Lepisosteus oculatus: one gene and its partners. The protein of the gene in region 2 purifies or fractionates together with the protein of the main gene of each other region. This does not show direct contact. Links are inferred from orthologs where the notes say so. Each region holds a gene or a part of one and is shown on either strand. Other genes may lie near its edges. The genes, in order: pds5b, smc3, pds5a and waplb.

What was found.
Region 1: the proteins of smc3 (region 2) and pds5b purify together in Homo sapiens (co-immunoprecipitation; 7 studies listed by BioGRID and IntAct, with this or other methods). This does not show direct contact. The link is inferred for Lepisosteus oculatus from reciprocal best matches to the Homo sapiens genes SMC3 and PDS5B.
Region 3: the proteins of smc3 (region 2) and pds5a purify together in Homo sapiens (affinity purification with western blotting; 8 studies listed by BioGRID and IntAct, with this or other methods). This does not show direct contact. The link is inferred for Lepisosteus oculatus from reciprocal best matches to the Homo sapiens genes SMC3 and PDS5A.
Region 4: the proteins of smc3 (region 2) and waplb purify together in Homo sapiens (affinity purification with mass spectrometry; 7 studies listed by BioGRID and IntAct, with this or other methods). This does not show direct contact. The link is inferred for Lepisosteus oculatus from reciprocal best matches to the Homo sapiens genes SMC3 and WAPL.

Annotation. Positions count from the first base shown.
Region 1 is NC_090700.1:14,803,429-14,810,617, forward strand, and holds the start of pds5b (sister chromatid cohesion protein PDS5 homolog B), read left to right. Parts: upstream 1-4,169; 5' UTR 4,170-4,251; intron 4,252-4,679; exon of another isoform or gene 4,680-5,546; intron 5,547-5,563; exon of another isoform or gene 5,564-5,762; intron 5,763-7,189. Other genes in the region: uncharacterized protein, read left to right, coding at 974-1,091. UniProt on the Homo sapiens protein: Regulator of sister chromatid cohesion in mitosis which may stabilize cohesin complex association with chromatin. May couple sister chromatid cohesion during mitosis to DNA replication.
Region 2 is NC_090699.1:39,758,910-39,766,740, reverse strand, and holds the start of smc3 (structural maintenance of chromosomes protein 3), read left to right. Parts: upstream 1-4,815; 5' UTR 4,816-5,042; coding exon 5,043-5,057; intron 5,058-7,831. Other genes in the region: dusp5 (dual specificity protein phosphatase 5), read left to right, coding at 1-34. UniProt on the Homo sapiens protein: Central component of cohesin, a complex required for chromosome cohesion during the cell cycle. The cohesin complex may form a large proteinaceous ring within which sister chromatids can be trapped.
Region 3 is NC_090696.1:68,270,343-68,278,070, reverse strand, and holds the start of pds5a (sister chromatid cohesion protein PDS5 homolog A), read right to left. Parts: upstream 3,002-7,728; 5' UTR 2,818-3,001; intron 2,685-2,817; exon of another isoform or gene 2,590-2,684; intron 1,971-2,589; 5' UTR 1,935-1,970; coding exon 1,824-1,934; intron 1-1,823. Other genes in the region: n4bp2 (NEDD4-binding protein 2), read left to right, coding at 4,481-4,709, 6,045-7,065. UniProt on the Homo sapiens protein: Probable regulator of sister chromatid cohesion in mitosis which may stabilize cohesin complex association with chromatin. May couple sister chromatid cohesion during mitosis to DNA replication.
Region 4 is NC_090699.1:27,849,608-27,856,812, forward strand, and holds the start of waplb (wings apart-like protein homolog), read left to right. Parts: upstream 1-4,199; 5' UTR 4,200-4,338; exon of another isoform or gene 4,339-4,557; intron 4,558-7,205. Other genes in the region: btbd16 (BTB/POZ domain-containing protein 16), read right to left, coding at 342-447, 2,012-2,168, 2,492-2,549, 2,680-2,807. UniProt on the Homo sapiens protein: Regulator of sister chromatid cohesion in mitosis which negatively regulates cohesin association with chromatin. Involved in both sister chromatid cohesion during interphase and sister-chromatid resolution during early stages of mitosis.

The DNA of each region.
Region 1 (7,189 bases), on a different chromosome or scaffold from region 2:
TGATTGGCAATTTACACTGGCCTTCTTTAACATAACATGTGGGGCTTCTGAGTGGCTTGACTGTTGTAGGTGGTTATAGATATATTATAATTAATTATAGATATAATTAATATTAATGAAGTCCAAGATATCCTAAAATGCTTTGCATGCAGAAGGGGGGCCATTTATCCCTCCTATATTGCAGCACCCATTATGCGCCAGCTGTCCCACTACACAGCAGGTCAAGTGAATTAAAGGAGGAGATGTAGTTAGGCCAGATTGAACAAACTTTAATTGGGATGCAGTCAGAATATTAAGGCTAACACCCCTGCTTGTCATGGGATCCTTAATGGGAACATGTAGCCAAGATTTCTGGCTTGTCTGAAAGACAGCATCTACTCAAGCTGTGTCCCTAGTCGCCATTCTGGTGCATTCGTTTGGACGTTCTCATCCAAGAGTGCCACCTACACCAGTTAGAGCAACAACCTCATTTTCCTTAGAAGTCTCCTGTCCCAGTACCAGGAACATTCTGCTCCTTCCATCCAATTCATAGTTACTCAGCAACCAATCACAGTAATGAACAGTCTCTTATTTTGCTAAAATTGATGAAACACCGGAATTTCCAGTACCAGTATTGCTTTCGTATAAGCTCTTTCCGTGTTTGTACAAGTGTGCTGCTTTTCTTCAGAATCACTCTTGGTACAAAAGCCATCCACTACAGAGATAGTCATTGCTGCCAGGTTATCAAAGTCAGGCCTGAGGGTCATGCTGTCTTATTTCCTGGTTTAATGTTGCTTATGTAGGTCAACTGCACGTATCGTTGACTTAGAAAGCCTTGAACGGAATCAGATATGTCTTTGTGTTGAACATTATCCATCTTCTGCACTCCAGCTTCAATGCATTTGTGTTTGTGCACGTGAGAGGCAGTGGGTATGCCAGGATACTTGGAAATCATGCTGGTTTTGTGAAGCATTTCAATTTTTCATTGAAACAGAAGATCCGGCTGCAGAGTGCCAGAAAGGGTCATAGGGAACATGGTGGAGAAGTTCAAAATGGTCAGATCACAATGGCAAGTGCTGAATTCCGAGGAGCCCTGGAAATGTCAGGATTGAAATCCGATTAAAAACCTTCAGTATAGCAGCAAGGCTTTGCCACGCTGTCCTCTGGCTAATGTGTTAGATGCTGGATGTTTTTAATACATCGGCACAGAAAAGTACAATTTTGAATATTTCTTTCTTCAGATTATGTTAAATATAACAACTTTGAGTATTTGCAGTATTTGCAATGGGTTTTAAGTGTGGAAATGAAAGGGAGTTTTAATTATGCAGGTAAAGTTTTGTTCTTTTACACAAACAAAAAACATAGAAGATAATCTGATTTCTGATGTTCTTGAAATAAGTTTCACTAGAATTCTTAGGCATTACAAATCTGATGCATAGAAAACAGTTTGGTAGATTTTATTTTTTGTAGTAGACTGGAAGGCTAACAGGTGTAAACTAAACTTGAGATACTGTCCTGTTCTGAGTTGTTGCCTGTTTCAATATGTCAGATCTACCATTGGAAATTCTAATTATTTTAAAAAATTATTTTTTTTATTATTTATTACAGCTGTGATATAAAAGAACCTTCTAATGTGGAACCATTTGGTTAATTTCAGTATTATGTGAAAGACTTTTCTCATTCCAATACATTGATTTTTCCTTTTAGGTTATATATTTTTCAACTGTTTTTAGTCTGCAGGAGCTACCAGTATTAACCCATTTATTCATGTTTTATATTGCATTTTTGTACTCTTGGAATATTTTGACCAGTTTGTTACTGTTAAATAAAGTCCTACTAAAAAAAATGATCAATTCTTTTGATAAATTATTTTAAAATACAGTAATTTCAAGAATTCTAAGATTAAATACACCATTAATACTTGGAGTTTTGTTGTTTGTTTTGTGTTTCTGAAATGTTTAAGTAATGTTTATTGCACAGTAACATAATAATAAACATTTTTATGTACTTCCTATAAACGTAGCATGTCAAAGAGCTGTGCACTAGGTGTAAAACAAAAGTTATAAAGACAGCAATTTACAAAGTGAACACATATTAGAAACACAGGAAGTTAGAAGTGCTGAACTAGAAACATGGTCATTAGAAAATGGTGAAGACAGACTCTCAAGTAAGCCTTTCTGAAAACCTGTTTATTGCAGTCAGTGGCATAATAAACCCTAAAAGAAATAAAAAAGATTTTTATTAATGAATGGAAGTACAGTAGCTCACACTGTTTTAAAAGTTTTAAGTATTTAAGTATTTTACCAATTTACATAAATACATCACGTTATTTTAATGTATGATTCTGATTCCAGAGTCATTCTGTTCCTCGGATAAAAACAAATAATTTTGTAACATTTTCACAAGTACATTCTTGCACTGCGTCTTTCGGGCGAGACGTTAAACCGAGGTCCTGATTCTCAGTGGTCATTAAAGATCCCCGAGCATTTCTCGTTAAGAGTAGGGAGTTATCCCGGTGTCGGGGCCAAATTCCCCCCCTCGGCCTTTACCGTGGCCTCCAAATTGTCCCCCTGTATGATTGGCTTGAAGTTGCCCTGCGATGGACTGGTGTCCTGTCCAGGGTGTACCCTGCCTTGCGCTCGTTCCTTGCCGGGTAGGCTCCGGCTTCCCCCGACACCGTATGGTATAAAGCGGCTTTGACAAATGACATGAGACGACATTTTTGAACTTTCTTGAAGGCAAATATTTTATACGTTTTTCTTGTTTTGTCCAGGGATTTATTTTCGAACGTAATAATATTTAAACCGCCGGTCAAAACCGAAGCAAACCTAAATCTATTCAGATGCATCAAAGGCAGTTTACTGCCACATGAATCCAGGAGAAAGTTGGAAAGCAGAGCACAGGAAGTAAAGGCTGCCTGTGTCCTAAAGAAAAGGTTGAAGAGGTTCCTGCAAATTAAGAGCCAATACAAACCAATGTTTTAAAACAGGAGCAATGACATGAAATAGTCCCAGGCTTTCAAAGGTTTGTTAAATCACTTTTTAAAAACGCATTGACATTAAAGTTTATATTTTAAAATGAACACAGCCTTTTCGCTTTTGAGAATCCTAATAGATTTTTTTGCATGCAATATATTACGAATACATTGATGAATATTTTCCGACTTCACAGATCGGACCAATTTGGGACCTCTGCTTTCCTGCTCTGAGCCACGCATTCTTGCTGCCAGTCAAGAATAATTATTGTTTCCATGTCTGTTTTTTTTAATACAAAACACATATAGCTGAATAAAACAATGAATTAAACGCCATTCAAAGGTGAATTTAACAATTTTACAAAAAAATGAATGTATTTTTAACCATTACTATATGGCACTTCTGCTTCTTATTTAGTCATTTAGGCACTTAAGTCAAATCCAGTTAATTAACAAGTACTGGTTGTGAACGAGGGCTAAACCATTTGTAATAAATAACAAGCAAAGAGATAATGGAATGGAGCAAATCGGCCAGAAGGGTATTAATAAAGGTACTGGGATAAATGCACTCTGTTATCAAGTAGTTCAGTATTCTGAATCATCACAGGTCTGAACAACATAGATTTAATGAAAGTATTTTTAAAACAGAATTTCTTAAATACTACGAATGCACTATGTATGGAAAAGAACAACACGTAATGGTTGCATACATTGAAAGACGATTAAAGCAAAACATTTAACCAATGGGATTTTTAGCCTATCGTGATGAACACCTTTCCAAGAAATACCTGTCAGTAAGCCCCCCCAATTTAGACATAAAATGTAAGTATATGATCATTATGTGAAGTGTGACTCTTCATCATAAAATACGTTATACAGAGCTGCAGGTCAAAATGAAACAATTGTGCAAGATTGATTAATGTGACAATACGCAACTACACACGGTGTGAATTTCATTTTGTGTCTGGAAGATGCTGGAGTAGTCACTGTGTAACCCGAGGTGAAAACCTTCACTGAAATTGGAATTAATTTATGTGCAAGGTGTGTGTCAAGTGAGAGGGACGGAATATTTATCTCACTGCAAAAGGAGAGAGTCTTGCAGGCGGCGCTGTGGGTCTGTGAAAGAACTTGGGGCTGCGCTCTGTTGGACATCTTCCCCTAGGTGGCGCTGTGCCTCCGCGACTGTCTGTTCTCGGTGGCTCGATTGGTGCAGCCGGAGACAAATTGGCGCCATTTTGAAGCCAGGAGGAGGATCAGAGCTGCAAGAAGACACGATTGGCTGTTATTCATCAAACTAGGTAGGATTAATTAACACCAAATGCTGCAAATTTCAAATCAAAAGGTGTATAACAACAATGGTCACGCAGGGGTGCTTAGAAGTGCAAAGAATAGTGCGTGAAAGACTGTTAAAAGAAGCGTTTGTTGTCTGGCGGCTGCTGTCCGCTTTTCCTGCCTGTATGGTGCTTGCAGCACCGGGGAAGAGAAAGAGACTCCACGGGTTCACCTCCCCCCCGCCTCTAAATGTGAAATATGTTTATTTCGCAAACATAGTTTTTGCATTTAGGACGGGACTTCATATGTGGGCTCCGTGCATGCTCTTTGACATGTATATTTCTCCCTGAACGTGTGATTGTATTGCGGTTTTGACGGTGCTCGTGTGTATGAGAGCTGGCCTGGTGAGAGGTGTCCGTACCACGACAGTGTGTTTTCCTTAATTAGCGCTTGCCTGCTTCAGTCGCACTGAACACTGGCAATAACAATCTCCTCAAGACCCGGTTTTCACGGTGGCGCGTTTCGCGGTAGTTTGATTTCGACCGGAATCCGGTTGATGATAAGCTGGTGCATGTTTTGTTTTGGGTTTTTTTTTTGTCTTCATTGACCGAGTCCCTGGATTTAGCGGTGTGGCAAAAGAAAAACTCAAATCCCCCCCAGCCCCCCCAAACCAAGAAGCAGCAGCAGCGGCACGGCCGTGTGAAAATATGATCAGTTGTTTGGGTTAATCTTGGCATTGTGACGGTCCGGTAGGTCTCCGGGAAGCCATCGGCTGCCACGGCTGCCTGCTGCTACACACGTTGTTGGTGCCCGTGAAGCTACACGATTGGGCTGGACGGCGATTGCTTTCATCGGGTGGAAATACGCGACGGGTTGTCCCGTCTTTTGGAACGCAGTGCCCCCCCCGCTCCCGGAAAGGTCCACGCGTCTCGCACGCAGGGAGGGAATTTGCGTGGTTTTGGCGGTCCGTGTAGCACAGGCTGGGGGCGGGGTGGTGCGGGAGAGCTCGCCAAAACTTTGTTTTGAAACGCGACCGCCAGCCCCTCTCTCGAAACCAAGCCGGGCTCCGGGGAGATTACGTAACGCGACGGGGTTGCATTTGTGTCACCTCGCTCGCTGCACCGTTCTTTTTTTTGGGGGGGTCGTTTTTCGGCAGATGAAAGGCGCCCACCCCTCCGTATTTCCGCTGGGACGGTGTTTTGCGCCTTTCGAGAGCACGACCCCACAAGTGAAGTCGGTGCGGTGCGGGAGCTCTGCGTGGCGACCCGGTGAAGCGGGAGTGTAGCCTGCCGTTCCTGCGACGCCAGAGCGCGGTGTTCAGGTGTCTTTTCTCACCGCCGTGTACAATCCGCCGACCTTATGCTCGACTCGACAGAGTGACCAACCGTAAAGGTTTTGTTTTTATCCGAACGAAGGCTGTTGCTCTATGTGGTGTTTGGCTTTGCAAGGCGTTGCTCCGTGTATTCTGCTTTGACCTGTCTTCTCCTTTGCCGGTGTCGGAGGGGGGGATTCCGGATTCGCCACTTGAAACGTGGAGGTAACAGTAACGTCTACATTTTCTCGAAGTTAAACCCCTAAGCTCTTGTTGTTTGGCTTTTTAACGTTAGTTTGCACGTTGATATTTTGTTTAAAAGCTTAGGGGGTCCATCAAGGCGCTTCGTCTATGAAAGACAAAGTAATAGCTTTTGTCGGTGTCCACCAGTTTGTCTTGTTTCCTGATCAAAAGTGTGATATAGGTTGTTAACAGGTTTTCAGTCCAGATGGGCTTGTTAGGACTTGAACCAGCTCATCAGTGGCTCATAACTGCACCAGTTTGACAGCTTCTCCCTTCTGTTTAACTGTTTTTTTTTCCCCAAAGACATATACCAGCCCTCTGGGACCAAAACTGAGGATCCCTGTTTTGAACCCGAGAATAGTGTTAAAAATTCCCTCAGAAATATATTTTGTATAAAGTGGTGATCATCATAAATGGTGTGCGAGGATTGTGATTGACCAGCTGTATGGCTTCTGCAGGATAGCAGCCAGGGAAACGACAGTCGTAGTTAGTACCCTGTTCTCACAACTCATAATAGCAAATTGAGTTAAAAGTCCTGGGTTAGCCAGTACTGTTGTATCCTTGGGTAAGATAATTCACTCTGGTTGCTTCTGTTGAATGATCAGCCACTCGAATACAAATCTACCTCTTTGGATGTGTATATCAGCCAATTTAATAATGGTACAAGTGGATAATTTGAGTTGTGATCCCATTTTGTTGAACTGTTCGACGACAAGAGGTTTCCATTGAGAAACTCTTGCTTATGTGGTTGCTTGATATTTGTTAATCCAAAAATCACCTCAGCTTGTTTCTTGAAAACCTGCGTAGCTTCTGGATATTAGCTGCATAGTTTGTTCAAGACCCTTACTACGCTTGGTGTAAAGATGCTCTTCCTGGTTTCCATCCTCAGTGCTCTTCATTTTTAGTTGTCAGGTGTGACCCTATGTCCATGTTTCAGTGTTGACCGGGAAGTAAGTTAACTGTCTCACTACTTCCGTCTATCCTCAAAGGCTGGCGTCCTGCGGGTGTCAAGCAGTGTATTCCGGTCACAGATGGCTTGACCCTTTAGCTGAATCATCAGGTGAATTAAGAAAGTAAGATCAGAAGTGTAGTAAAGACCAGCAGACAAAGGGCTGAAGTTGGCCATCCTTATGATTGTTCTCCTTGCTGTGCTTTGCTGTCTTGAACTGTGAAACAGCTACCTCATCCGGGAAGTAAGAATGCAGCAGATCTTGAACACTAGTAGCTACAGATGTGTAAATACCTTTAGATTGCTTTGTGAACCCAGGCACATGTCTCGTGAGCCCTGGCAACAGAAATAGATTTTGCAGTTGCTCTCTATGTTGAGAAGGAATAGAGCACTTCTGGTTAATACGATGCACTTTTTCACTTCCAGGTTAGTACGGGGAGACTTGTGCAGTGAATAAAAA
Region 2 (7,831 bases):
GTTAAAGTTGAGCCCGATCAGTGCATTGCCTTAACCTGAAGGCTGACGTCTCCTAAGATTACTTGAAAAAACAACAACAAGTCCACGAGCTCAGATCCCCCCTCACAGACCCTGAAAAGGGGTGATGGGAGCGTGGAGGAACGAGAACTTTCTAAGAACGGCAACTGCAGGGCCAACAATGACGTCGTTGCTGTCGATATCCATCCTCATCTCCACAATGAAAAACAAAAGACAGTGATACACTGATGCTGCCATCTTTGATCTGTATTGTGATATCAAGTAGGAAAATCGCCTTACTATGATGATGTGAACCTTATTGTGCTCAGAAAGCCTGTGCAAAGACAAGCAAGTTTTATTAATTTATTAAAATGTTAAATTACGTAATAACTGGCAGGAAGTAATTATACTCCATGCCTTGTTGGTCTTAAAAGTGCTTTTTTAAAAAAACAACAACAAATATTTATTTTGCTAAAGACAATGACGTGGAAATGCTAATAAAGTAATTTGCCAAATGGGACATGGTGGTGTTGTTGTTTTCTAACTGGGACTACACAGAAATGAAAAATTAATCTGAATGAATTAACAGCCTTGGCAATTGAAGTAAACAATCACTTAATTTTGAAGAAGGCTCACTTATCCTGAAGAGGGCTTCACGGCCGAAACGTTGTGTTTTCTCTCTTCTCTTTTCAGCATGAAATAAACCTATTGTTCCTTTGCAGACAATGCATGCTGACGCAGCTACCCACCTGAATCACTTATTTTATTCATTCTACAACTCACACTCAGGTTATCAGAAAGCTTTTTCCTCAGAATCCTCCCTAGGATGGTTTGTTCCTTTTATAGATCTAATTTAAATGTATTCTGCTTGACACCCTAAAAAGGCAAGCCAATTGTTGCTGCATTGAATGCATGTCGCAGTATTAAAAAACAATCCTGTAGTTTCTGGTTGTTCTGAGGATTATTAGCTTACTAGACCACTGGCTTATTGCAAGGCAAGTAAAGTGAGTTAAACATCTGCACACCTGATCTCTTTTACAGGTGCATAGGAAACAATCACTGACAGAAATAAAATGGAAAAATTCATTCGTGCTGTGCTTTGCATATCTCACTTTATTCCAAAAATAGCTTGCATTTCTGTTTCCAGCCTTTAGCTCTGCGTGCTTTTTTTCTTTCGTATTTCCATAAAACACACAGACAGGCACAAAGCAAAACAGATAATTTAAGCAAGAATAATACAGTATGTTCAGTTATTTCACTGGTGCAACTCCGTGTGACTCAGACATGATCCCTTCGCAGCAAAATGACACAAAATGAGGTAAATGATCCCTTCTTGTGAAAGAAACCAACACATACAGTCTATAAATGGTCAAGCACTGATAGCAACCTAGTAGCTTACCAAAATACATGCACAACAAAGACATCGAGAAAAAGAAACGTTAACCTTAACATACAACTTAGCAAATAAAAAACAAGAGGAAATTAAGAAGGTCAAGAACAAAGACGATTCTGAAACCGAAGCAAATTTGGGTATTTTATTTTTCGTTTTTATTAATTTAATATTGATATCAACTTAACAAGGATGTAAAGAAGTGAAGAATGGAATGTGTTGCTCATATGCATGAATTGGACACTAGCACATTCTGATTTTTCAGAAGGCAAGGTAAAGTCAAATCTTGTCTTATAAACTTCACCTCTTGGTCACTCTGATAAAGAAAACGTGCATCGAAACGATTTGTTTTCCTGCAGGACACTGATAGAGTAGGTCTGGTGTTGTTTGTGTATTAAAACAGCTGCGTAATGGAGTGGAAAATTAATAGTTTTTTGTGACTTAAAATGTATTTTGTAAACTGCAGAAACCTAATAACACTCCATGGAATATTGCCCACAGCATTCCTTAGACAGAAACATATTATTCCAGCAGCACCTTTGTAAAAATAAGTATCATAATCACATATCCAGTTTTGTTTCTGGACAGAAAACTAATCATTTTAAGGGTGTTCTCTAACAGAATTGACCTGTGGTAAAAAGCTTTTTCTTACATCTGTAGGTTCGGAAATTCTTTGGTTTGCAGATCTTTTGACTTGGTTTATTCCACGACACAAGCCAAATTCCTGATTGTGATGATTTACACTAGAAAGGAGAACACTGACGTTTGAGATGACATAAAAGTAGGTATTGTGGATTAATGATGTGCTGCGGGGTGTGAAAGAAAAGAATACAATGGGCATGTTCAGCCCTCCTTCAAAACTATGCAATCAAACTGTAGATTGTTTGTGTCCTGATCTGTTTTGATATTTTTCAACATTTTCCCATTGACGTTTACCTAGAAAGTCACCCCAGCCCACAGACAGTTACGTACGATTTGCTAAATTGCAGTCTGGTCTTTCTCTAAATGTCATGCCACTTTCATTTGAATCTGTGAAACACTGTGCTGCTTTTGCAATCTATCAGCACAACAAATGGTCACATATATCACAAAGTCTAAATGTAGAACTGTTTGACAGACAAAAGCATCCTATCTCTTCCTCAGAGCATGTCCAAGTCACTGTGAGATAGACCTAGTCACAAGCTTATTTATGCTGTTTCTGTGAAAGGCTTTTATTTTCCTTATTTTTATTTTGCTTTAATGATAACTTATTCCTTTATCATCAAACAAAAAAAGCAAACAGTGGCATTTTTTAAATTTCATTTTTGTATAGTCATGATTTATGCTTTTTTGGTTTCGTGCTCTAATGCCAGCTGTGCCAGTGGAATGCTTCTTTACATTAAAACCACCTTGAATCTTTCATTTAATGTCAGCTTAAAATGAGCATCTTGTCACCCCCCTGAATGAGCATATGGCCCTTCCCAAACCCATATAAAAAAAACTGCAGTGTATGTGCCTGCTCTGTTTTGTGCTTTGTATTCTGCTGCATGCATACCTGGGTTATACCCATGTAGTGGCTGTTCTTTTGAATATGGCAGTGCTACTATAGGGTACAGAATGTACTCACTACCACAAGCAGTGGATTTTGAAATACAAGTTCTATGGCTTTAAAAGGGTGCTAATTTACGACATCAGTGCCTTGTACTTTCATTTAAAAACAAATGTGAGATCATCTTGGTAAACTTTATATGCATTATCCCAAACTTTTGGTTTTTATTTTATTTTTGCTCAGTGGTAGGGGACCACTGCTGGCAAAGATGTTGGATTTACAGAGAAGAGAACATCTGCAGCAATCTCCAATGTAGCGCAGCAATAATGTTAGAGACTAGGGGTTGTCGGCGTGGGAAACTGTCAGTCCAGAAGATATATAACACCCTTTCCAAACTCCCTCGGAGTCCACTTGATTGTTCATAACACAACCCACCTTTTCGACTTTAAGCATGTGCTTAAATGCGTTAACAATGAAAAATAACTCTAGAATCCCATGACAATGAAACATTCTCGATGAAACGATGTTAGATTTGCGCCATATTAAATACCTCTCTCTTTAACTATGTTAATTTGTATGTTTTCTAGCCATTAATTTAAAATGTGACGTCTGACATTTGTCATCTTACAATACCTGTCATTGTACTTGAAATTTCAGTAAAACGATTGGACTTATTAAATCTTAAATCCAAATCTTGAAATATTTGGGTTTTACGGCGTTTATTACACATCTAAGACAAAACTATTACAATCTGAGAACAGTAAACAGCGCCACCTGCACCCTAGTCCTTATACTTTTGCAAACGTTTCCTTTCACGTTTAAAGCCAAAATTGCATTGACAGGAAAACGGTTTTGACAGAGATCCTTAGAATGTAGTTGCAAGATACAGTAGTTTTTTTTTCAATTACTCTACACATCAGGCCCTCAGTATTTTTGTAAAATAACATTTTGAAGCAGTAGTTGCAATGGAAACGACAAGACTTTTGGATGGAGTGGGTAACAGTCGGCTAATGTAAACAACACTTATTAATATATTTTCATTGAAAAAGCGTCTTTCGCTCTGCATTTATTTACAAAATGGAACAAAGTTCACACCACTTTTTCACGGCAACCTTCAATTGCTTCTACATGGCCAATGGCTTTATAGCAGATACGGGGAATGAAACGTCCTCAGAGCACATCTGGTAGCCTGTTCAAGGTTTGCTGTCGGTGAGGAATCATCCGTGTTTATGTAACGTCTACCTGCCTGATTTGTATTTTTTGTACTCATTTTTCTTTGGTCTAGAATTAATATCAGCATTACCCATCTTTATTAGCCCGCATTTATGTTTTTGTGTAAAACGGACGTACATAGGTACACATCACATTGATTACAAATCAAAACTCTGTAATCCGTTCGGGTTTTTTTTTACATTGGCGGGAACGGGAAACCTAAAGTAGTATCTCGCTGCCAACAAAGATGGCTAAAAATAATCCATAAAATCACTTCACGACTGTCGACATGTAAACAATGTAGATAAAGAGGATTTGTAGTATATCTATCACCGCATATTAAATGTCTAATAGTAAAATGTAGTTTAAAATAACATTGAATTCAGTTATACAGTATCGACTACAGTAACGCAGTTGAACACACCTCAGACTCTGCAGCTTTGGCGCCGAACCTTTCACCTTATGTGGTGCATACCAACTGTCACACATAGGGTGGGTGTTAAACACTAATGACGAGAGCTTTTCTTTAATTAAATTTCATAAACTTAAAATGATATTCTGGAATCATACAGAATTATTTTTGTTTACAAATATTATTGACGTCCAGTGTCCGCCATGCTTGGTTTCATAATTATTTAATTTAACCGACCTCCCCTACACTGGACAATTCAAGCATACCCAATTTGCTCCCTCCTCCTGTCGCCATCTTGGTGCCTGTTGTTTCTGTGTTTTCATGGGGGGGGAGAGTTTGCTTTTTCCGAATAGTTTGCTTTAAATAACTTCATTCTAACCATTTATTGATTAAAATTGATAGCTTTTCGCTCCTTCCATTCGGTGGAAGGAGAGGAATTTTCCAGTTCCCTATCGTCTCGTTGATTTGTCTTTTGTGAGGGAAAATTACCTGGGAATCCGAACATGTACATTAAACAGGTACAGTAAAAACTGCTCTTCTTCTTTGGTGGAGAAAAACGTATTCGAGAGGGAAATTAGAAACAACGCCTTTCAGATTAGACAGAGTTCCTTTGCCTTTGTAGCTGTTGGTGACTTGAATAAAATTGTGAAATGGTTAAAAATAGTTGCAACTTGGGCAATGAATGAGTTGACGTCCGTGTTTACAAGCCTTCATCGGGTAGACGTTGGAGTTTCTGTACGTCGGGTTTGAGCCTTGAAATACGACGGGAATACTGTAATCTTTTTTATAAAGGGGTAGTATGTTGCTTGCTGAACCAATATTGTTTTGCAACCAGGAGTTCGTCAGCTGAAAGAAGTAGGCCTCAGGCTATCTAAATATCTGCAGGAAAAGGGGATTTTTTCAGAGATGAGTGCTTAAACTAGCTTTCTTAGATGGCGAGCTGCTGCTGTTGTTGTTGATTCTCTTGCTGAACATTTGGCTTGTGATGTTTCTGTGCTGAATGACGTAGAACGATGGGAGCAGGGGAGAGGGCTGTCACATTGTGTGATCCGGAAAGACAAACGAACCGAGGAGAAAGTTCAAAGGTCCATCCCGCATCCCAACACCACCGGTGTTTCAATCTAAATGATTTAAAAACAAGTTTCAAATCTTAAGAGTGATTTGAGGTCCGAAAGTCTTCAAGTGCTTGAAGTTGCAGCCTGTGTTGTATCTACCCAAGTGTGCAGTTTCTTTTGCCTAGAGGCAGGTTAAGCAAAAGTGGACAGTAAACCCCAGCTCGAAATGAATACTGTTAGCTTTACCTGGGATCATACTTGCAGTACGTAGGAGGTTTTGCTCCGAACGTGACTCTGATATCGAAACTCATCGGTAGTAGCTTGGTAGTTGATAGAAGCGATGACTGCATTGTGTTTGTGTGGGTGCTTGTGAGGGGGTTCCTGGAGTCCATGAACATCCCCCAAACTGCAGCTCAAGGGTGATTTATGAAATTCAGCAACTATTGTGCTGGAGTTTGAACCATACTGGTTTTAAACATAAATGCCGCTTGCCATTTTGGGTGCCAAAGAAGCAAATAAGAAAGTAAAAGCAAAAGCAAAGTGTGAGATAAAGGAAAAAAGAATTCAGAGCTACAATTTCACAGGTTACAACAACATCCTTTTCAGAGAGAAGAGGTAATCGGGGAATTGAACATGGGGTTCAACAGATAGTGTCTCGGACAACTAAGATAAGATAAGATCACTTTATTGGCCATATACAGTTTCCTGCATTAGGAATTCATCTTTTTGCATACCCCAGCTTGCTCTCCATGAGACACAGACACACAGACAGAGAGAGAAGCTTGGTGTCAGAGCGCAGGGTCAGCCATTGTACAGCACCCCTGGAGCAGTTAGGGTTAAGGGCCTTGCTCAGGGGCCCAATGGAGTAGGATTCCTCTGCCGGCCGTGGGATTTGAACCGGCAACCTTCCAGCCACAGGCGCAGATCCTAAGCCACAGAGCAACCGCTATTTCTATTTCTATTTGCACTATTTCTGATACACATGCTTTTACCAGTGCATGTTAATACACACACACATTTATTACATAAATCAAAGAAGTAGAAATCTCTAAAATCCTATGGTTTTTACAAAAATCTCTATAGTGACAACGTGAGACACCTGATAGTAGACGGCAAGCATTTCCACCAAAGGGAAGCTAGATGGCTGATATAATGACTTAAGTCAACTTTTCTATGTTGAATAAACCAATATGTCTGGATTTTCTGAGAGAAAATACAATTAACACATTTCATTTAGCACAGTTTTAAGTATATAATACTTTGCTTTATTAAGTTATTGAAATGTTATTATTCATTATTGAATTATTATTCATTTTTGTCATTTGAAATATTTTAAGTTGAAAAATTGAAAGACTGTTTGCCTTTAATGGTTGGTTTCAGAAATTGAAATTGAAAGCGTTCTAGAATTTAGCATAATCTCTATGCAATATGATGGGTGTCACAATTTCTCCTGAATGTTTATCTTTTCAGGGTGGTGCTTAAACACTGACAATGCCTGTAAGATAAGTGTCTTTCCCCCCTGTGTAAATTAACCAGTTGTTTAGAAAACTATAGAAACCCAAAAATTGTAAAATAATTTTTAATTATAGGTGTGTTTGAAACATTTTTTCTTAAATTGAATACACATAAAGTGTATTAATAAATTGTGGAAACTAAGACCTGAGTGTTGAAATTAAATGCCTGGTTCAGTAAATTAAATTAATCAACAGCTCTTTTGGTACAAAAAACATAAGGTGCTTGGTACACTAGGACAAAGGCTGGAGAATTTCATCTAGATGTCTCCACTAAAAGTGCTGTTTTCATCTTCCTTCAGTAATTACAGCTTAAAGCACATGAAGTCATTCTATGTGGCTCATAACATGCAGTGTCTTGAAATTAACTATATTTGAATTGCAGATTTGATTTAGTTCTTTGTTTATACGGGTAGTAGAAACTGATGTAGAGGTAAGGATTTGAGATTGTAGCAGTGTATGAGAACCAACCTGGGTGAACTTCCAAAATTATCTCTACATTTACTTTACCATAATCCCTGCTCCAAGAGAGCACCTTTTCAGCACCTCCCATTAAATCATACATTTAAAACATTGCTGTGATCAGTTAAACAGGTGACAGTCACAGTAGTGATCTGACAATTAGCAATCTTTTAGAAGAAAAATGTAATGACCCTTGAGTTTCCAAGGGTTCTTAATTGGTATAAATCTTAATAAAATCAATTCTTAATTGAGAAATCACTTGAC
Region 3 (7,728 bases), on a different chromosome or scaffold from region 2:
GCAAACTAGGTGCATTAAACGGAACGAGAGCAGATCCCCAGACACCCATCAGTAGAGAAGATCCTGATGTTTGCGCCATGTTAAGCCTCGTAGTTGCCGATTTGTAGACATGAGTTTCAGAGAGCCACGGGCAGAGAGCTGCACAACTCTTGAGACAGGTGCACATCTAGACTTCATCTGCTTACCAAATAACACTCAGGGCACTCTTTGAAAGTAGGGGGGCGTTAACCCTCTCTGCTTGGGCCTTGTACAATGTTGCCTGCCTCAAGCTCTCTCCTTAATTAAGCTGAAGGACCTGAAAACGTATCCACCTGTCCTGCTCTGTACATAGTCACGTGTGTCCCAGGTGGGTGCTGCACTTCAGTGATGAAGCAGGTCCCCTCCTGTACGTCAAGTGCTTCAAAGACTCTCTCGCATGATCAGATCGATATAAAGGCAAAGCCTTGTAGCACCTGATCACATGGTGCAGCACAACTAGGCCCAGTACATACACATACACACAGCTATTTCCCGAAGTAACAACAGGTCAGCAAAGGTCCTGCACTCTTAATGTTTAACCGAGATTTACTGCAGGTTCCTTCCTGTTCTCCGTGGGAGCCCCCTTGGGTGCCATGACAGCCACCTGCAGCCCTAGACTCCGGGTAACCTGGCCGAGAGAGGACCAGGCAACATTCCTCCAAACTGGCTCAGCCCAAGTGGTTTTGTGAGCAAACCCCAGTAAAGGTGCTTCATGCGACTGCCGTTTTGAGTCACTATTAAACCGTGCAGAGACACGATCGCGTCCACCCAGACACCTTCACTGGCCAGGAAGAGAATTTACCACACAGCACATTCAACACACAGTGCCGAGTGGTTTAGCTCGTCAGCTCGTTGTCTGACCAGAAGGTGTTACAGCCCAGTCCATCATCGAAGTATAGCTCCCCTCTCTTTCGGACATTTTCCACAACTCGCTGTTTCAGGAAGGATGGAAATATCGCTAAGGATACCAGTCATCCTGGTTCCTCCTTTGTCTCCCCCCTTCCCTCAGGTCAGCGTTATAGGAGCATAAAGGCACAAGCTTGCAGATTCCGAGACAGTTTCTTCCCACAAGCCGTCAGATTACTGAACTCTACCGCCACCCTGGGCTCACACTGCTGGTTTTTTAAGTTGTATGTTATTTAACTTGCTGCTGCTGTTCTGTGTTTATGTTTTTTTGGCGTTTCCTTAACGTCTTTATACTGGAGCATACAGTACTTGCAAATAAGCACTTCATCGCACTTGTGCACATGACAGTTAACCGAACCGAACCACCCATTCAACGACAGTAATTTCTCAGCAGCAGCCTCTGTCGCATGTTAAAGCTTTCCAATTGGGGGAAAAAAGCATTACAACGTAATTAATCTCCTCATGCGGGAAAGTGGAAAAAGACTAAACGTTGATTAAACTGTTCGGGTTCTAGTGATTTGACATTTATACATATAGTATACAGGCTTCTTTATTTCTACACACAAGCCCAGTACCGGTGGGAGGAAAATACTGCTGATATTTCATAGAAACTCCTAGATTCACTAGTACCTTTGACCTCCCTGAGCAGACAGCTTGTCTACTCTTTTGCAAACGATTCCTTCTCTAACTATTAAAGGTGTACATCTGCAGAGTGTGTTGCCTGCAAAAATAAGTACTTTCACGTTACAAATGGACATGTATATGAAGAAATCCTCTCCACACGTGTACGTAATGCTGCATTATGTAATTATGTAGTCTTTGCGATGTAGTCCAGAGCGAGCAGGCTGAACCAGTCTTTTTATTTTCTTCAAGACGCCGGTGAAAGGCCCAGTGCTTACCTTTAACCGCTTGACGACCTCATCGTTGGTGATCTTGTCGGTGATCTCTTTCACCCCGGGCGGGTAGGTGATCTTGCCGTCTGCGGGTCTGGGCTGCTGCGGGAACTCCATGCTGTCGGCGTCTCTTGCACAGCGCGCTACTGGCCTCTATCGGTCACAAAACAAAAGTTCACCAGCACGAATGTACCGCACTTTTCACCCCATTTTCAGCCTCACCCCCCCCTCCTCCACAAAACGAAACAACACACGGTTGATCAAGCCAACGAAGGCCCCTTGGATTCTCCACAAGCCCCGGATCCGCGGATCACCCCTTCCCTGAGAAAGGAAAAACATCCTTAAAAGCCCCCAGACGGGAAGCAGCTCCGGCTCCCTCTTTCATTCCCTCTCGGCGACCAATCAGGGTAGAAAAGTAAACATTTCACAATGAAACGTGATCGAAAATGCACTCTCCCGCACCCGACCCCCCAACAACAGGCGCCCGATTGAGATTTTCGGCGCCGGTCGCCCAAATCGCTCCGGCAGGCAGCGAGGGGAGCTCCCCAGCCAGCCCCGTCCTGGTAAATACTGGGCCTAGGCGTTAGGCCGCAAAACTATTCAAATTACACACGTTAGCGAAGAATAAAAAACCGGCAAAAATAAGAACGCGGCGCTGTTTGGCCCCCTTACGCCAGCCCTGGAGGGGGGAGCGCCGGGTGTATCGCCGCCTTATTTCCGTGGCACGGCCGCCAACTTCTAATTTTTGTGCGGGAAAACACCACTCATTTACTTATTGTTTGTTTCTTCAACTTCGGCTCCGCAGTCTCTGCCTCTGCCCACACAGGGCACCGTCGCCCTCCCTCCCCGCACGCGCCTGCTCGGGGGACATCGCCGGGGAAGAAAAATCGAGACATTTTTTTTTTTTTGGGGGGGGGGGCGCTGCTTTTCCCCCCTTCTCCCCTCTCCCCTAAAGCGAGAGCCCCGCAAGCCGGTGTTATGGTGTTGTTGTTTTTTTTACCTCATGGATGTGCCGTGGCTAGCGCATGAGCCGGGTCTGAGGTGGTTTTCCAGTCCCAACAACAAAAGCTCCGGCAGGCAGGTCCCGTTCGCTCTCGAGTCCCCCCTCCCCGGGTGAGAACGGAGGCGCAGCGCCACCCAGCGGCGGAGCGAGGCGGGGCGGGGGGGCCGAGAGAGGCGGGAGTCTCTCCGCCGAGTGACGTCAACGCAAACTTCCCCCTTTCTTTCCGGGGCCCGCTACCGTACTGCCGCGCATACGGGCGCACCGACTCTTTCCGCTACGCCCGCCGCGCAGTGCAGTGCAGGACCCCGAAAACTGCAGGCGGGCACGACTTTCGGCGTGCGTTGTCTTCGCTCCGAAACCCTCCCCGAGGGCGCTATTTAAGTTGGGACGCAGGTTTTGAGCATTTCTGCACCTACGGACGGTCTCATGTTGTGACAAAAATGCCGGCTGGCGTAGTACACCCTTAAAATAACCAAGGTTTCCCCACCCCCACCGTGGTTTTTATTGCATCTCGGACCTTAATGATTTAACTGGACCAATTTCAAGTTGTTCTTGAAGTCTTCGAGCGGTTTCATATTGACAAAGGAAAGTTTTAGACCCACCAGTCAATTTTGTTTTTATTGAAACTCGCAGGAGCCCGGGAGCACTCGAGAATCGGTGTTATCCGAGACAACTTCGATAATACATTTCTGAACACGCAATAACACACATTTTACAATCGGTACACACACTATGCCCCAAGTGTTGATTGTACACCTACGGAACGATTATTGGTACTGCTCAATCATCCATCACGTTTTAATGCGAAGAGGCTGATTATAAATTCTTCTTCTGATAACATTCGGACTAGTCTGAAATGTAGGCGGGTGTTATTTTTGGGAGGAAACTTTTGTGGAAAAACTTTATGGATTCGCTTCTTTGTCCGTTTACACGGTACACCGAACCGCCCATCCCAAGTGTTAAAAACAAACCTTTAAGTCCCACCTCAGGAAAAAAGTGACAGCGCCGACTAATGGACACGGCAGTGTATAACTTCACTGCTATAGGGATATGTAGGCACATCATTCAAATCTGAGTTGATCATTACAGTTTTAAACCAAATAGGACTAATTTGATGGTTTGAGTCTAAAACTATGGTGTCTTTGTCTTTCACATACCAAATACACAAAATATACTGTTTCAGCCCGTCGTTACACAATCAGATCCGAAAGCGGAAAGGCCTAAACGAGTTTAATGTGCTGACTAGCAGGGAATAAAATCAGGAATTCAGCTGTGAAAGCGTGCAGATGTATTCGGGTTCCCCTGCAAAACGATAACCAGGGCTGTCTTTTACCGAAACACTGTTCAGACCTGATAAATAAAATCGACCGGGTGACTAACAGCGACGAGCTTCCTCGTGGGATGGAGTGTCCTAATTTTGCAAAAGCTTTGCAATGTCCTTATGAACATGAAATGATAACCTGAACTAGAGAAGCGTCGATATTTCTGTCCTGGATACGGTGTAGCTACAGGGCGCTTTGCTCACACCTCCCCGCTAGGCGCGCTCTAGTCGAAGCGCACGTCTGGTTTCAGGCCACACGCTTGTTTTGATCGTGGTGTTGATGGCCTCCGCTGCCGTGCAACCCAGAAGGAGTGAAAGTTAGCATTGTGCGCCCGGAAAATGCCTCGGAAGAAGAAAAGCGCCCAGAGCCCGGCCAGGGTGCCGAACCCGAGCGCCGGCGAAGGCGGCAGCGTTACGGGGAAAGACGGAGCGATGTCGCGGAGGTTTGGCACGGAGCCCCCCAGCTCCAGCTCGGGCAGAGAAGAAATCCTGAACCGCATGAGGGAGATGTTTTGGCACCTGGACCCCGAAGTCATTTATATCGTTCTGTCCGAGTGCGATTTCCAAGGTGAGCGCGGCGCCTCGCTGGGCACGTCCGCGCACCCAGGCTCCCCCACGGGAGAGCCGCACATGCCCTGGAAATCGAGGCTGAGGGCCCGGACGGGGCCTAACCGGTGCTGCCCTCCACCCTCTGACAGCAGTGCCCCGCACTGCAATGTAAACAAGTCTTACAATCCGGCAGTAGATGTTTTTTTTATATATATATAAATCGTCTCGGCAGACTTCAAGTTTCGCTAAAGCTCGCACGGACATGCACGCTTCATGACCACATCTGAGTATTCTCAGATTTATCTGGTCAAATGGTCAAATTCAACCCACAACAGCACAGTAACGATAGTTTTAAGTTGTCCCATCCAAGAGAGTTTCAGGTTGTCCCACTTTGCAATAGCCGTGCACTGTTTTTCGGGAACGGAAAATTATGAGTGGACTGTCCACGTTGTTTGAGATGTGGGGTATTACTGTATTTATCCCAACTGTTGCGTTTGACATTAAATCAGTGGGACATGTTGCATGTCTTCAAATCACATATTTCAGGCTGTTGTCCCGCAGTTTATCGGTCAGTGTCAGGAATGCTGAAATCGGCGAATTGAGAAACAGGTGCTTGCTTGTTCAGTTGAGGTGTTAACACCAGGGATCAGGTCAGTCCCTATCAGCTGTATATAATCAACCATCTTATGGGAAGTTGTCGGTGTTGCTTTTTTTTGACGGACCGATACTTTGTTTCAAATAGTAGTTTTCAATAATAGTTATATGTTTTTTACATACAATTTAAAAATTGGTACAGTTACAAGATAATAACATTGTGCGTTTCTAGATAATATTATTTTTTTACATAAAAATGAAGACATTTCAAAAGCACAACCCCCTAGCTATTTTAGGGTCTTCCGCGGGGAACAATGTTATTTCCACTCAGATGAAGCATGAAGGTGTCTTTTCCGAGTTAAATAACACCTTTATATTTTGCCAAATGTTAAAATCCATGCAAATATGCCTGGGTCCATACTAAACTCCTGTCAACATGCATAGCTCAGTGGCACAGAGGATTGCGAATTATATAGGCAAAAGGTGATACTTACAGGTTGCATGTACAGAGATCAAGTTATTGAAGGGATAATACGGCCATTCCTTGATTCATGTTCATAAGGGAAAAAATGTGTGAAATGAAATTCTTATTACTTTACACATAAAGCCTTACGATTTGCTCCCATGGTCTAGAAAATCGCCCTGCATTACTCTTTTGTACCCCAGCCGAGCACCGAATAACCTACGTAAGAACACTATTGCTGCTGCTGTTACCCAAACGGTTAACAAGGCTGACTCCTCCTGTTCCCCTGTTTCCCAGCTGAAGCGGCGATGGACTCCCTCCTCATGCTGTCTACCGCCGCGGAGGGGGCTTCCCCTGCCTGCTGCCCCCTGGGCTTCGAGTCCACCACGGCGCTTTTACCTCCCGGCCCCCCAGCTGGGGCCCACGCCTCCCGAGCCGTGGAGACGAGCCCCCCCACCGTCGCCACCGCCGCCGCCTCACAGGCCAGCCTGCGGGACCTGGACGCGATCGGGACGCACCTGACCGAGGACTTTGACGAGCTGATAGACAGTGAGTTCCGGGCTCTGGCGAAGGAGCCGTTCGACGGCGCTGTCCAGCCTGCCGAGGATTCGGGTGTCAGCAGCGAGCATCCGGGGCCGATCATGTCCGGCACGGCCAGCAGGTCCACCCCAGAATGGCAGCAAGACAGGGGCAAGGGCCCCAAGCAGCAAGAGCTTGTGCCAAGCTGTTCCCCAGCGAGCGGGCTGAGTTTAACCGGGGCAGGGTATTGCCCCGGAGAGACCACTTTCCTCGACTTCAGCCACCTGGCGCTGGAGCCTGAGAGCAGCAGGCAAGCGGCGCTGGACTTGGGGGATAGCGGGAGACCCTCTGCCTTCCAGGCGTACAAGAGCTCCAGACCTCCTCGCGCGCCCCCTGCTGGTGGTGGGGAGGGCAGCAGCCCGAATGGGAGCGAGCTGGGGGAGGCGGAGCAGGGGACGGGCCACGGCTCGGAGACCCGCGCTGCGGACCGGTCCCTGAGGTCGCCGGCCGCGCCCGTGATCTGGAACACCCAGGCCCCGGAGTTCCAGCCGCGCAGCAGAGCTCCCGCCTTCGTCACCCCCCTGGCGGCCGATCCGGGGCACTGGAGGCCCGGTTCCGACCCGGGAGCCGGCGGCCGGGCGCCTCCCTTCAGACCGCCCGCCCCTATCCCAGCATCCCGGGCCCTGCCGGCGCCGCCCCGGCCTCCACTGCACGGCTCTGGGAAGATACCGGTCCTGGTGGGCCGGGTTCTCGTCCTGCTGAGGGGTGCGCCCGGGTCCGGAAAGTCCACCTTGGCCAGGTACTGCTAGCGCGGAGGTGTGCGGCCGGGTCAGCTCGCACGTTTGGAGAATTGTTTCATTCCGATAAATTGCTTAGCTTTGCAAAGGCGTGTGCGCAGGGATTGTCCTGTGCCAGTCTCTTCAGTCGGGGTCATTGTGATCCTTGATCCAAAGAAAACCATCTGTATCGTCTCATAATCCTTTCCAGGCCGCACTAACACACATATTGCTCACACCACCCAACAGGGTGTCGTCTGAATTTTTTTCTGAAAAACAGTCTTTTCAGCTGAGCACAGAGACCAAGGGTGTCGAGTGGCAGGAGATAAGTGGAAATTACGGTGTGATGAGATAAGGACAGAACTGTAGGCCCACAGGTATTTCCAGGGACGATGCCTAATGCCCTAAGAAATTAGACACAATGCCTAATTTCTCATTATTGAAACAAGTTTTTCAAAATAAAGCCAGTGCATTCTTCAGTCAACATTGGGAGATGGGTTTCTGTACAACACTCTTTTTTTTGCTCTTTGTGACCTGTTGGGACCTGACACTCATGCTAGTAGATAAAGTCGATGAGGTCAGTATTTGGTCTTCAAATAAGAGGAAGGGAAGATTTTCAGTGGGCAGTGACAATAGACCGCAGAATCAAGGAGGTCACAGGCTAGAGATCACCTCCCTACAGGCCT
Region 4 (7,205 bases), about 12 Mb from region 2:
CTTGGGAAATATTCTCCTAAGGGATTGCTAAACACAGAAATGATTAAACAAATTAAAGCTGTCATCAATCGATTAAACACATTATTGCCGTCATATAAGGCCTTGGCCTTACAAGACCATGAGGAATAAAGGGCTTTTATTTTTTTGCTTCACATCCCAATGGTCACTCTCACCATATTTTCAACACTGATCACAACCTGGACCACTTACTAGCTCTATAATCCAATGGTCTGAGACACCGTTCTGTACAGTATTTTGGGGGGAATTTCAAAAGTGGGAGAAAGTCGAAGTCACAGTTAAGCGTTTTTATTTTTTCTTGTGTTTTTTGGGGGGCACTGTACCAGCATGTCTGGTGTGTGGGTGTCGCGGTGCCACGCGAGAGGACTAGGCGGGGCAGAGTGGGCTCAGGGCCGGTGGGCTCCTCACACTCACAGAACGGAGAGTCAGCTGAAAGACAGACAGGAGGCAGGGCGGGACTTAGTCAGGAAAAGACGAGCCTGTTTCATGCAGTGAGTGTTCCCTTGACACCGAGCTGCATTTCTCCAGAGAAAGATTCAAATGTGGCAGTCTTTTGCTGTTGCCCTCAAAAAGAAAAAACTCCAGCTCATTTACTGTCCTTGAATTAATAACCATTTTCAAATGCATTGCTCGTTCATAGATATAGAATCTACATACTGGAGGAATTTCCCTTAAAATCAATGAGTGCATAACACAAAACCAACAAATTGTTCTTTAGACATATAAAGCAAACGAGTACAGCATATCTTTGCCTTCATCAGTAATAAAACCACAGAAAGGTGAGGTGCATGTGTTCGCGAGTGGAATTCAAATTAACGCCGCTCATGATTCTTGCGCTATTTTTGCCAAGAACGCTAGTTTACATATCCCTCCAGCGACGGTGGACGTTTGCGCGTTCGTGTGGTGCCTGAGTGCGAGAGCCAGCCTCCAGATGGCCCCTGGCAGCAGCCTCCTGTCAGATCTCTACAGGTGCGCGCCAACCCTCCCCTCGTCAGCCCCACACAGGCTGGCGTGCCTGGCACCGGCCCGCGCACTCAGCCCGCCTGACAGGCAGGACTCCTGGCACAGGGACACTGGCTGCAGGGCAGCCGGCACAGTGTGGCACAGGCAGACTTCAAATGGCACAAGTTGTACACACCGGCTCTTTGCTTCGGGGCATTAAAGGTTCTTGGTGTGCGCGCTAGGATGGCTGCCAGGAGACTTTAAAGACTCCCGAGTGGTTTGCTGTTCCCTCTCTTCACGACGACAGCTTCTGCAACGTGCCACCGCAGAAAGATCAATTCAGCAGCTTTTGAAGTACTGACGTCTTCCTCATTTCCCCCTTTTATCTCTTAGGACTTTGAGCACCCACTTGTTTTCTGTTGGCAGGTTTAAGACGGAATCTGTCTGTCTTCTTCTTTCTTGAGAAACAAATGTAAAAAAAAAAAACGTGGAAAAAAACAGCGTCCGAGGTATAGAGAGACGACGGGGAAACGAGGCAGGGGGAAAGCGCTTGGGAACACCCTGCCGGGTGTGTGATCGGACAACCGCCGCGACAGTGAAGAGACCTGCCGCAGGCTGTCAGGGGCGCTGGAGCTCCGTCACACCTTTCCCCTGAATTCAAACTCTCCGCACGACAATATTAAAAAGAAACAAAAACAGTATTTTATTAGTATAAAACAGTATTTCTGCCTCTGTTCTCAGAGAAGGGTTTCACGGCTCCCAAAGCAGAAAAACAACAGAAGCGAAACTCAACCTGAAACTAGGTTCACACCATCGACTCCCTCTGAAGCTCCGCGTTGTGCTCTGGGCTGCCGGTCGGAGCGCAGGGCAGTAAGGAAGATTCCCCTCACCTCTCCCGGTGCTTTGCCCTAACCGTGCTCCTGCATCAGTACCCCCCGCGGAACAAGGGCACCGGGGCAGGGAACACTTCCGGCGGGCTGAGAGATTTCGACCAGGCCTGGTGCGGAGGCCTGCAGGGGGACCTCCCAGCGCGTCTCGGCGCGGTGCCCACCTGTCCTGATGCCGCGCAGAGTGGCGTTGATGGTGGCCCGCACGGCCCGCGCGGCCTGCGCCTGCCCGAGCAGGTCGCTGCCCAGCGGGAAGGGCAGCTGCCAGCGGTTGGTGTTGCCGGCCTGCTTCCTCAGGCGGCCGCGCGGAGAGGAGGGCACCTGGGGGCGAAACACAGTCACTGGGGGGGTTCTGGGTGACAGAACCTGCGGCTGAGCGCTACCACCATCCTCCTCCTCACTCTACATTACCCCCTTGTTCTTCCTTTCAAACACTGTCAAGCGAAACAGAACACAAAAAGGACTGTAAATGTTCGTATGAATATCCAGTCCTTTGTTTCCCCGGCTATCCGTCCCTGCGAGTGTTTTGTGTTTCCACAGAAGACTGCTTTGAGCTGGTGCATCTGGGTCTAAACCTTGGCACAGAGATCTACTCGGGGCTTCTCTGTTTTGTTTTCCGAGAGAAAACACCAAAGAGCTCTTACCCTGACCTCTTCGGAGGGTTTGTCCTCTAGCGCTTTATAAGGAGCTTGCAGCAGAGATCTGGTGGCCGAAACAAGAAGGACAATAACGAGACATTATAGGCTGAACTGCAGTCCCCAAAGAACGGCTTTTTATCGGAGTCATTGAACAGCACCCCACCTGCAAAGCACAGTCCAGGCGTCTCACTTACATGATGCAGGCAGCTGCTGGCGTCATGTGTGTCGGGGGTGGGTTGGGCACGAAGGTGTTCTGCAGCGGATGACCTGGAGCGAGCCGAGGAATAGTGCCGCTGCCGTCCCGTGGCAAAACCTGAGCCATAGTCCAAGATCAGTGGGAAGCTTGAGGCACTATTTTTTACCTGCTTCTTCAGCTTTTGCGGATTGTGATAGTCACGACCCCGCTTCCCGTTTAATCACTACCACTGTGTCGATGGCTGTGTCCTAGGAGGCGGTAGGAAGTTAAGACGCTATACTTTGCGACGTCGCTGCGGTCATTCGGAACAACGTGAGACTGGCAATTGTTTCGCACGTGACACGGGAATTCTTCTGTTCTGGACTGTCATCCCCCCCACGGACTCGCTCCTCTCCGTTCCCACGACAACAGAGACGCGGTGGCTATGGAAACCTGCTTTAGACAGATTGCCGCAGTGATTAAAACCACTTGCTTGTAACATCCGTCCTTCACAGCAGTGGAAAAAGTGTAGTGTTTCAGACTGATATCGGAAGAGAGCAGTGAATGGGAAAATTAACATTGTGTAGACATTCTAAAAAAACTATATCGCATCGTACTATATCGTTTGTCAATATCGCCAATCAACCTCAAAAAGTTAATGCTATTCAATACTCATTTATTTGTTTTTCTATACAACATGGAAAACACAACAAAATACAATAACTAATATAACTGTCGTGGTTGCACGGGTGATGTGCAGTTTGCCTTCAATGTGGTTATAGATTTATTTTTTAAGAAGGCGAGTAAACTACTTCTCGGGTGCCAAGAAAATGTACAGATGGAAACTGTTCAAAAACCTCGCCACAAGAGGGCAGTAAATACCACTGTATCGTGACAGCAGACCTGGGGAATTCAATTTTCCACAGAACGCCTCCCTGTGCCTAGCGCCGGTGCTTCGCAAACTGGTTGGTTTTAAAATATAATTCAATGCAGACATTTAATTCATTCATCGCATATATTCAAGATTTAATAGTGCATTAAAAGGGGTGTCAGAATTTTTAAAATACAGTCTTAATTTCAAACGAAGAGGAACAGTTGCAAATGAAATAACCATTAATGCACTTGGTGGTCTCCAGTGTGAAGTCACTGATAAAACCAAAAACATCGACTGACCTAATTTTTATTTTACTCGGATCTAAATATGAATATAATCCAAAGGACAGTCAAGGCTGATATTTGTACGCGCAGCTATACGTTGAAACGTAAAAAATTGAGGCTGCTAGGAGTTAACAACGTAAACCCAAAGCATTTCTGAGATGTGTAAATAAAGGGGACAAAGCAATATGTATTACATAATCTTTGCTCTCCTAATGTTGCTTTTGATCACTACAGATCCCATCATCCCGTTGAATTTACGTATTAACGTCTCCTTCTAGACGCTTCGCCCTCCCCCTCTCTCCTCTTTGATTTCAATCTTAAACCGTTTCCTTCTGCCGTTGGCCAATCAGATCTTCACTCACTGGGACGCAGAACGGCGGTTTAAGCACCACAGGGCAGCATTGCGCCTTGTGATTGGACAGACGGCAGCTCGCTGCGAGGTGACGGTGGTTTTGGCAGCGAAGGAAAGAGGGAGGGGGGAACCCGAATGGCAGTCAGCGGCGCAGCCGAAAAGAGTCAGGCGAGTTTTGAGATAAATTAAAATAACAACAATAGAACTTTGAAAACAAACTTTGCTCGTCCCTGGTGACCCCGGGCTCGCTATACTACACGAAGGGATAGCCGCTGGTGCCGCTGGAAGTAGTTGCCAGCTTGTTTATATTGTGTGAGGGGGCCGAGAGAGCAGGAGGCCCAGTCGAGTGCGAGCAGAGGGAAGCGGCCGCCTCGGAGTGTGAGTGAGGTGAGTGGCCGGCCCGGAGGTTTCCAAACACGGCCTGGTGATCTCCGAGTAAACGGGGGGGTGGCTGTTGCCTTTTTTTTTGACGCAGGTGCGATCGCAGCGACGCAGCCAGGCAGTACCTTAGCGAGCGGACGCCCCCGGTCGCGGTTAAAGCCAGAATCTGTGGGGGCTGGTGCGCAGGCAGGCAGCTCGGCGAGTTTCAGCCCAGCCGTGCGGGCTGAGGAGGGGTGTAAATAACGGTGTGGAGATAAGCAGCTGTCAGGCCTGCGTGCCTCGCGGAGCGAGCGAGAAGAGCCTAGCCTCAATCTATGTCTCGGGTAGCATTTAAAGATTTCTTTCGAAAGCGGATCATTGCGATTCACGTATCGAATAACTTGAACAATGACCTGCGAGAACTGCAAGTTCAATGAAAACACCGTGACGTTGGTCGTGTTGTCGAAAGTGGGACATTGGGGCGAATTGTCATGGACCCAGGGCAGGATGGGGGAGTACAGCATTAGTCGTGTTTTCTCCCCGTGTTGACACGAAAGCTAAGAAAGCTCAATATATATTTTCACCGATTCTTAAAAATACGGTGTAGAAATAAAACCCCTGTAAGTGACGTTCGTTTTCAACACTTTAGCTAGTCTTTAGTGCTTTTATGGTTTGTAGGCCCGATGGAAAACAACCGCTTCTTTTGTATATTACCGTTATGAAGTTTATAGGATCATGAGTTGAGAGGAGTACGAACTGATCGTGATCAAGTACACATCTGTGAAAAGCACGGTGACGCAGATATCCGGCTTTCAGTCTCCACATTAATAGGATCGATTACCGCAAACTCTCACGCAAATTGATTATTGCCAATCGAAGAGAAAGTTCCGGTGCGTGCTATGTTAAAATTAAACGCTGTTTGCTTGACGGCCAGTTACCACATTGGTTGAATGATTCTTCAGTCACGTCGCAAGACTGTTGTAAGTTAAATTTAAGAACAGTCAGCTTTAGTTTAAGAAAATAAGTTGTAATTTGTACTAGTTTGAAATGCATCGTTTTTACGCTTTGACAGCCCAAAACAATGCGCTCGGGCTCACGCATGCGTACTGAGAAGAAAATCGATCCTGCCTGTTGTATCCAAGTTAGCGGATGGCAAGGTGATTTAATATAACTGTATATGATTTAATTTTACAAGCAAAACATGAGTTGATTCAGTATACAGGACGTTTTGGTTTTGTTTGCTTGGTCTTTGTTTAGAAGTGAACGGATTTTAAATGCTGTTGGTCATAAGATATTTGATGTCATACTTGGTAATGTACAATATTTGAGCAGCAGGGTTACTAATTTTAGTAGTTTTTCAAAAACAATGTTGCGCTTCTTAAGTAGTATTACGTACGGAAAACCATCATCAAGATGCGTTTTATATTGTTTTTCATACAGAGTGTCAAAACGGTATAGTGTTTAAAAGCATGTAAATAAACCTTTTTAAAAAAATTATATAAGAGGTTACAAACAAGAAGGTGCAATTCACCTTGTCTAGCACAAGGCTACTACTTGTAGTAGCTAATGATCTCAGTATCACCTTCAGGTCTTTCTGGAGAGAAGCTATTATATCAGCTTCAGAAACGTTACTGTTATGGGCTAGCATGTTCCAGACGTCACAACTCTTAGTACAAAAAGAACCTTCGGTTTTCAGTTTTAAATGCACTTCCTCTTAGTTTCCATTTTTGTGCTCTTGTTTGTGTTTCATGATTCCAAAGACGTCGATAGGGAAGACTGTCAGCTGCAGCAGTGAGATAGTGAGATAGAAAAAGAGATTTTTCTATTGACAAAGTAGAAAGTACTATTCTGATTGTTATACTTAAAAAAAATACCGTATAAATAGATACCACCCTTAAATGCAAGTTAAAACGTTTTGTGAATGTGAATTGCTACCCAGTTTGACACATTTTCTTAAGTGGATTACTACTTTTTGCTTTTCTGATATGCAACAATCTTTCTAAATTGTAATCTTGCAGGTTTTTGTGATCGACGTTAGTATTGCATATATCGGATAAAACGGCTACAAGAAAAAAATCAAATGTTCCTTTCTTACACCAGACATAACAATGGAAAACTGAAACATTTCTCTTGTACAGTCTTGAACATTACATGTATTCAGTATAACTAACTGTAAAATTCGTACCCAGTATTATAGAACTTTCAGTATTGCGCAACTAACTTCTCTGCTACGTTTGGAAACAAAATGGAGAAGGGTGCTTTGGTACCAAATGCAGTGGAGTATTTTTAAGATAAACAGTGAAATATTTAAACATTTATAGTGTAGCGATTTCTATAATGTCACATTGAATAGGATACCTGAAGAGAATATGTGGGAATTTGGATCAGCATTTCAATATTGGAAGTGCATTTGTCACCAGGTCACCAGCTACGTGATATGCTTTGGCAATTTAGTGTGCTGTTTTTTTCTGGGGAAATTTTCACCTAAGCTGTGACACCTCGTTTCTCACAAATGTTGTAAGAGATGACCTAACATTTATTTGAAGCCATCTACCTGTGAGAGATTCTCTCTGCATTTGTAAGTTTTTGCCCTTCCATGGCAAAACTGAATATTATGGAATTTGGATCGCAACTGCAGGATGTTCCAATGCAAATGTGCTTTGAAATACAGGCTT